Linked DNA regions of Ovis aries. The protein of the gene in region 1 interacts with the protein of each later gene in a pairwise test. Links are inferred from orthologs where the notes say so. Each region holds a gene or a part of one and is shown on either strand. Other genes may lie near its edges.

Region 1 (4,016 bases):
CGGTACTTCAAACATTTTCTTGATAAAGATTTGTTGAATGACTAGATTCCCACTGGACTCTGCTTACCAGCTAATCAAGCCTCCTCCTCCCCAGCCTCTTGCTGTTGCTATTCAAGCTAAGATCAAGTTTCTCCTCCTCAGGGAAGCCTTCATCCACCTCAGGCCTCAGTGGCTTCCTCCACTGAACACAAGAACAGAGGTCCTTTCCTTTTTTATTTTATTTTATTTTTCCACTTGAGGTAGAGACTGCTGGCGACTTGGGCCAACCAGATCTGTGGCTGATCTCTGCTACCCTCGCTGTGTGTCCAGCGAAAAGATAAGCTCAACTTTCCTCAACTTCGGCTTCCTCATCTGAAAATAGTGAATGAAAATGCCCACCACAGAGTTGCTCCGAGAATTGGCCTTAAGGTATGCAATGTGCTGTTCCTTGCACTTAAATATCAGCTATTTTAATGACTCACAAAGAGAAGTTGCTTCCGAGAACCTAGTGAAATTCTCCAAGCACTGTCCATGGTAAGTAGTTTCCCGGTTGCTCGCTGGGTGGCCCTGAGAGCCATCCTTTTTTATTCCTGAGGCGCGCCAAGCCCCTTTCCTCCTCGGTGTTCTCACGACAGTACCCTTCCTGGGACCGAGGTCTTGCCGCCAGGGGAGCACCAGATTAACCTGTGTCCCCCCAGCCCCTCGGTCCCCTCCCAAACACACACCTTAACCTCCAGCCTGGCTTCCCAGCTCTATCCCGCCGGCCTCTAGACTCACGTCCTCTTAGGAAGCTGCCAGCAGCGCCTCTAGCCGGTCGAACTTGGCCGCAATAGGCCTAAGGCTTCCTGGGCTCGGCTGATCCTCAACCCACGTGCTCCCGGCCTCCGCCGCAAGGCACCGCCTTCCCGCTGGGCGCCATGCGGACTACATTTCCCAGGGTGCGCAGCGGCGGGGCCTTAGCTCGGGTGGTGAAGAGGGGGGCCGCCTCAAGCGGCGCGCCGTTCCGCGGCCTGCTCAGAGGCGCGCGGGCAGGCGCGAGGATACGAGAGGGGACCCGGAATGAGTTTCCGCGCAGTTCCGCCGTGCCGTGCCGGGCTGTGCCGGCCGGGTGGGGCTAGGGCAGGCGCGGGTCCGAGAGGGACGGCTTCTGAGTCGGCGGTGCCGCGGACAGGCGCTTGGGGCAGCCCGTGCCTCGCTGAGGTCCCCGCCCCGTCCCGGCCGGGCCGGCTCGCCTGTCAGTCACTGGGGCGGAGGCAGCGGCGGTAGCAGGGCCGGAGACGGAGGGTGAGAAGAGCGCGGGCCTGGCGGAGCCGAGGGGACCTGCCACAGCCCCTTAACTCCACGGACTCTTCGCCCGAGATTTGCGAAGCTGTACCCCTGCGCTTCGTTGGACGCCTCCGTAACCCGCGAAGGGCTCTCTCCCCCGTAACCTCCCACCCCCGTGACCTCCTCCTAGAACCCGAGATCTCACTAGGGTGTTGTGGTACAGGCCATCGACCCTGTGACCCCTTGGTTTTCCCCAGGCCTCGATTCCCTATGACTCCCTCTTCATAGATTCTGGGGACAGAACCCTGATCTACCATCAGGACCCCCGCCTGCAAACTCCTCACTGACGGCTTTCTCCTAGGAGTTCCCCTCAGTGGGTCTCCTCCTAAGAGCACCCCTTTTGGCCTCTGGCTAGCCCCCCACCCTCAACCGAGGTGGGGCGGCCTCGGCAGCCATGCTCGCCCTGGGACCCCTGTCACCCCACCACTTCCTGGGTACCCAAGCCGGAGTCTAGCAGGGGGCCAGCAGCCAAGAGGCTGGGGCAGGAGACAGGCCACGGTCCACCTCCCTGCTGGGGAGGGAGCAAAGATGGAGCGGCGGGAGGAGCAGCCGGGGGCTGCAGGGGCTGGAGCAGCGCCAGCCTTGGACTTCACGGTGGAGAACGTGGAGAAGGTATGAGGGCCCTGGGGAGGGGCACTCCAGTGACAGAGCAGAAGTTCTGGGGACTGACACTAATGCCAGGGCCCAGGCCTGGGCTGGGTGCCCGTTGGGATGGTGCCTCCAGAGCACCTGGCATTTGCTGTCTCTCTGGGCCAGCCGACAGCAATGCAATGGTGTCTTAGGCTATTTTTGGCCTTCCGTAGACACCGGTCCTCTGTGGACACGCTAGGGTCTTGGGATGGTCCCTCCAGGGTGCTGATGGCTTAGACCCTCCAGCCAGACTGGCCACTCTCCAGCTCCATGGGAAATGCATGAGCAGTGCAGTAAGAAACCAGGAATGAGGGAGACTTGCAGCTCAGTCTCCAGAAACCAGAGTGATGCTGAGCCATCCTGGCCCTGTTTGGTTGAGCAGGGGCTCAGAAAATAATCTGAAACTAAAACAATCTGGGTTGTGTTTTCACTTTTCCTTGGAGAAGGGTCCTTCGGTTATTGGATGGAGGCCAGACCACTCCCGGGCAGGCGGAAGTAGGGCTGGCCCCTTGGTTTTGTGCTGGATCCAAGGAGCCTGGTCCTGCTGGCAGCTTCAGGGTCCTTCCCTACTCACCTGCCCACATGGCTTCCTGCCATGGCACTCTCAGGCTCCCCCACTGCTCAGTCTGTCTTTTTCAAACTGCTTCTCTGTGTCTTTGCTGGGTTCTGCCCCCAGAGGCTGGGAATGTAGAAATACTTTCCACCCTGGGGTGGATGGGGGAGAAGGGGCTATCGTGGTGGAAAACAGGGAATGGTTGCAGATACTCATTTGTTATTCTTGAGCCCCGTTTACCATACCCAGTGGTAAGGATGCATCTTTCTGCTTCTGTTCTCTGCCTGCCTCAGCATCCCAAGGGTCAGTGGCCATAACTGGCTGTCAGGGGTACAGACAGGGCTCAACCTACTTGGATGGAGCCTGCTTAGGGGGTGAGAGTCCTGGCCTCACTCATCCACCCCTTGGGGCTGGGCAGTGTTGGCATGGTGGCGCACTGTTCCATGTGCCTCCAGGGAGATAAACCACTGTTTTCCTACTGTGTGAAGTCCTAATGGAATTGGGACCCTGGGGATTTAGCTAGTTGAGAGCTCCAGGCTAGGCATTTGCCAGGGCTGCAGGCCAAGACTTCTCTGGACCAGCTTTTGGACCCTCTTGTATGCTCTCTGAGGAGTGTTCTCACCCTCCCTTCCAGTTTGTCTTTGCCCTAGGGCTGCCTGGCAAAGTCTTAGTCCTGCTCAGATTTCACAGTGGCTTTGGTGCCAGCATCTGGAGTGACCTAGGGATGATCCTGGGGGAGCTAAATGGAGCTGTTGGAGTAGATAAGAGCAGCTGTGCCTGGGAGGGTTGGAGGCGGTGGGTGGCTCAGGCTGTTCCATGCTCTTCTCAGGCTTAGCTTCTTCCTTATGGAGCCACTCCTTCCACCTGGGCCTTGCCCTTTACCTCAGGTGCTTTTCCTTTGGGGAACTTGGCCTCCTCTTTTGCTGCTTCCCTGCAGAAGTTCACGCTCCCAACCCCTAAGCTTTTGCTATAAAGAGAAGAGGCTATGGTGGAGTGTGGGCAAGTTCGGGCTCTCAAGATCCCGGCCGGACCCCAGGTCCATGAAGCACTGCTGAGCCTGAGCTCTCCCTTCCCGCTCAGCCCCCTGGTCAGAAAGAGAGGACAGTTTTGCAGGACCGAGTCATGGCCTGTGTTGTGGGCTCTGGCAGGACCAGAGTGGCCAGCACCTGCTCAGTCTTGTGCTGTCCTGCAGGCGCTGCACCAGCTCTACTATGACCCCAACATTGAGAACAAGAACCTGGCTCAAAAGTGGCTGATGCAGGCCCAGGCGTCCCCTCAGGCCTGGCACTTCAGCTGGCAGCTCCTGCAGCCGGACAAGGTGCCTGAGATCCAGTACTTTGGGGCCAGCGCCCTACACATCAAGATCTCTCGCTACTGGAGTGACATCCCTACTGACCAGTATGAGAGCCTAAAGGCACAGCTCTTCACCCAGATCACCCGCTTTGCCAGTGGCTCCAAGATTGTGCTGACTCGGCTGTGCGTGGCACTGGCCTCGCTAGCTCTCAGCATGATGCCCGACGCTTGGCCA
Region 2 (4,146 bases), on another chromosome or scaffold:
GTGGTCTAGTACTTCTGTTAACGGGCCATGTCGTGGTTTTCACATTAGATGGTGTTCGCATTTCCTCTCCAACAGTAGTGGGAAGAAGTTTCTGAAATGTTCACAGGAAATTGAAGTTCCTTTCTGAGCCTGTGTCAGAAATCTGTCCCCGAAGCAAACGGGCTCGAGGAGGTCCCATGACTTTGGAGAAGTGATTTATGTCCAATAATAAATCCTTTTCTCTCACACAAAAATCCTCTGATGGTGGGAGTCCTAACAGCTAGAAACAAAGGCCTGTGAAGATTCACTCTGCTTTGGGGATGCAGCAGGGTAGGTCCTCAGAAAGCATCCTTCCCGTGCTAGCGGAATGCTGTAGAGCGAAAGAATGAATAAACAAGCAAGGTCACTCTTAAGCTGAATCTTGAAAGGTGAATTGGTTTCTGCAGCTGAGAAAATCATTCAGTTTTAACTCCCAGCCACCATCACCACATACTCTAGTGCCACCCATGGAACACTGGAGGTGCAGCAGGGGGAGCCAGGAGGCCGGAAGCCCCAACCCACCTGATGGGACCTAGGCTGAGGGACGCACTAGCTCACTGAGCAGAGATCTGGGGCTCAGGGTTTCTGCAGATTGTGGTGGGGGGCTGTTGATGGGGTTCTGAAAGGCAAGGGAAGGTCTGAAAATAAAGGGTGGCTTGAAGTAAGAGTGGAGTGCCTGAGAAGTTAGGATCTGAGATGTGTAGGTTCCTGAGGAATGCTCTGAGACATGGGAGCCTCTGAAAAGGGGAGGAGGGTGGGCTCTGGCTCTGAGGAGAAGTAAAGTGCCTCTGAGCAGGAGCGGTCGCTGTGAGGAAATGCGGAAGGCAGAGATGTGAGAGATGGGAGTCTCCAAAGCAGAACAAAACTGCGTCGCCCTCTCCGGCTGGAAGAATGTGTGCTTAGTCGCTCAGTCCGATCCCGTGAACTGTACCCCTCCAGGCTCCTCTGTCCATGGGGATTCTCCAGGCAAGAATACTGGAGTGAGTTGCCATGCTCTACTCTAGGGGATTTTCCCAACCCAGGGATCGAACCCAGGTCTCCCGCATTGCAGGCGGATTCTTTACGGTCTGAGCCAGCGGGGAAGAGGGAGGGGGTTAAAATGGAAAGCGCCGTTGCCTCAGCAACCTCCAAAAGAGTCCTAGGCCGTTGAGAGGGGCTGGTGGGGGCGTGTCTCTAGGCGGTGCGGGGATGCTTGGGCGGCGGTGGTTGGCTGGCGGCGGTAGTAGGGCGTGTCCCTAGGCGGGGCGCAGCCGCCTGGCCGTCGGCGGTTGGCCGTAGGCGGCGCCGAGGGCCGGGGCTCCGGGGTGAGCGCACCGGGCGCACGGACTGCAGCAGTTGGCTACGACGTCTGCGCGAGCTCTCCAGGCTCGCCAGCTCCTGGTTGAGCACCCGCAGCTCATGGACGCTCCGCAGCGCCCGCCGCGCCCCGCGCCGCCACCGCCCGCCCCGCGCCGCTCGCCGCCCGGGCCCCCACCGGGCTCCAACACAGGAGACGTCCTGCAGCAGATCATGGCCATTACCGACCAGAGCCTGGACGAGGCGCAGGCCAGGTGCTGGCGCGGATTCGGCGGGGGGCCATCCAAAGTCGCTTCACTGAAGGGGGCGGGCCGAGGGGCCAGGACCGGGGCAGCGGGGGTCGTGGGGGTGAGGAAGGTGCAAGGTGAGAGATGCGATGAGTCTCTGGGCGGAGAGAGGGAGGGCAGGGCGCATGGGAGGGGGAGGCTTGAGGAGGACTGAAGCCGGATTCTGAGGCCGAAGGGACGTGAGGGGTTAAAATGGAACAGATTGAAAGGGAGCTTATGGAGCTAAGCAGTTGAGTGATAGATTTTAAGAGCTCGTCCTGAGGTGAGAGGGATGGGTTTAAGGAGAGTTTGTGGATGGAGAGGTTTATGGTGAAAGGTGGTTTCAAAGTTTATGAAATGTAAGAGGGAAGAGTTTTGGAGATGAGGGGTGTAAGAGCTGAGAGGTGGGTTCACACAGGATTTGTGAATAATGGACAACTGAATGAATCAGTGGTATTTATGAAGATGGGAAATTGAGGGGGCCGGTCATGGAGAATGAGTTGTGGGAAATAAGACTGGAGAATAAAAAGATGGTGTCATTTGATTTGGGAATGATCCAGTAAAAACATCAGTGGGGAAGCTGAGTGGAGACAAAGGATCCCCCTCTTTCTTTAAATTAATTTGGCGAATATTTGTTTGATACTATGTGTGGGGCACGGAGCGGGGTGCTGTCATAGCTACTGTTGTCAAGCTAATTGTTTGACAGAGAGAAAATAATAACAAAACTAAGTTGTGAGGAAAACTGTAAGTAAAGGGATGGAAAGCTGTGGGAAGCCGGGTGGAGAGGGCACCACACCTTCAGAAGCCCCAAGGTGGGAAAGGGCAGGAAGAAAGCAGAGCTAGGGACTGAAAGTCCCCAGTAGAGTGGAGAGAGTCTGGAACCAAGATCATATGGGAATGACAAGCTTCGGGAAGGAGTCTGGGTTTTATTTCAGGTATAGTGGGAAAATCACAGTGGTTTTTATGTCTCACCTCCACCTACCATTTGTCAGCCAGCCAGGATTGGTAGAAGGTGCTTCACAAGGCAGCCCATTATGTTTGGGGTCTGCTTGAATTATTAGAACTAACATTATTAGATAATTAGATAACTAACATGATTATTAGAATTACTAGAACTAACCTTTTAGAACTAACACCCAAAAAAGATGTCCTTTTCATTATAGGGGACTGGAATGCAAAAGTAGGAAGTCAAGAAACACCTGGAATAACAGGCAAATTTGGCCTTGGAATACGGAATGAAGCAGGGCAAAGACTAATAGAGTTTTGCCAAAAAAATGGACTGGTCATAGCAAATACCCTCTTCCAACAACACAAGAGAAGACTCTACACATGGACCTCACCAGATGGTAAACACTGAAATCAGATTGATTATATTCTTTGCAGCCAAAGATGGAGAAACTCTATACAGGCAACAAAAACAAGACCAGGAGCTGACTGTGGCTCAGATCATCAATTCCTTACTGCCAAGTTCAGACTTAAATTGAAGAAAGTAGGGAAAACCACTAGACCATTCAGGTATGACCTAAATCAAATCCCTTATGATTATACAGTGGAAGTGATAAATAGATTTAAGGACCTAGATCTGATAGATAGACTGCCTGATGAACTATGGAATGAGGTTCATGACATTGTACAGGAGACAGGGATCAAGACCATCCCCATGGAAAAGAAATGCAAAAAAGCAAAATGGCTGTCTGGGGAGGCCTTACAAATAGCTGTGAAAAGAAGAGAGGCGAAAAGCAAAGGAGAAAAGGAAAGATAAGCATCTGAATGGAGAGTTCCAAAGAATAGCAAGAAGAGATAAGAAAGCCTTCAGCAATCAATGCAAAGAAATAGAGGAAAAGAACAGAATGGGAAAGACTAGAGATCTCTTCAAGAAAATTATAGATACCAAGGGAACATTTCATGCAAAGATGGGCTTGATAAAGGACAGAAATGGTCTGGACCTAACAGAAGCAGAAGATATTAAGAAGAGGTGGCAAGAATACACAGAAGATCTTCACGACCAAGATAATCACGATGGTGTGATCACTCACCTAGAGCCAGACATCCTGGAGTATAAAGTCAAGTGGGCCTTAGAAAGCTTCACTAAGAACAAAGCTAGTGGAGGTGATGGAATTCCAGTTGAGCTATTTCAAATCCTGAAAGATAATGCTGTGAAAGTGCTGCACTCAATATGCCAGCAAATTTGGAAAACTCAGCAGTGGCCACAGGACTGGAAAAGGTCAGTTTTCATTCCAATTCCAAAGAAAGGCAATGCCAAAGAATGCTCAAACTACCGCATAATTGCACTCATCTCACATGCTGGTAAAGTAATGCTCAAAATTCTCCAAGCCAGGCTTCAGCAATACATGAACCGTGAACTTCCTGATGTTCAAGCAGGAAAAGGCAGAGGAACCAGAGATCAAATTGCCAATATCCGCTGGATCATGGAAAAAGCAAGAGAGTTCCAGAAAAACATCTATTTCTGCTTTATTGACTATGCCAAAGCCTTTGACTGTGTGGATCACAATAAACTGTGGAAAATTCTGAAAGAGATGGAAATACCAGACCACCTGACCTGCCT

The links.
Region 2: the proteins of IPO13 (region 1) and PBX4 interact in binary tests that used the Homo sapiens proteins (3 or more experiments, as listed by UniProt). The link is inferred for Ovis aries from reciprocal best matches to the Homo sapiens genes IPO13 and PBX4.

What each region holds. Positions count from the first base shown.
Region 1 is NC_056054.1:18,587,192-18,591,207, forward strand, and holds the start of IPO13 (importin-13), read left to right. Parts: upstream 1-1,216; 5' UTR 1,217-1,833; coding exon 1,834-1,917; intron 1,918-3,680; coding exon 3,681-4,016. UniProt on the Homo sapiens protein: Functions in nuclear protein import as nuclear transport receptor. Serves as receptor for nuclear localization signals (NLS) in cargo substrates.
Region 2 is NC_056058.1:3,519,146-3,523,291, forward strand, and holds the start of PBX4 (pre-B-cell leukemia transcription factor 4), read left to right. Parts: upstream 1-1,346; 5' UTR 1,347-1,416; coding exon 1,417-1,568; intron 1,569-4,146.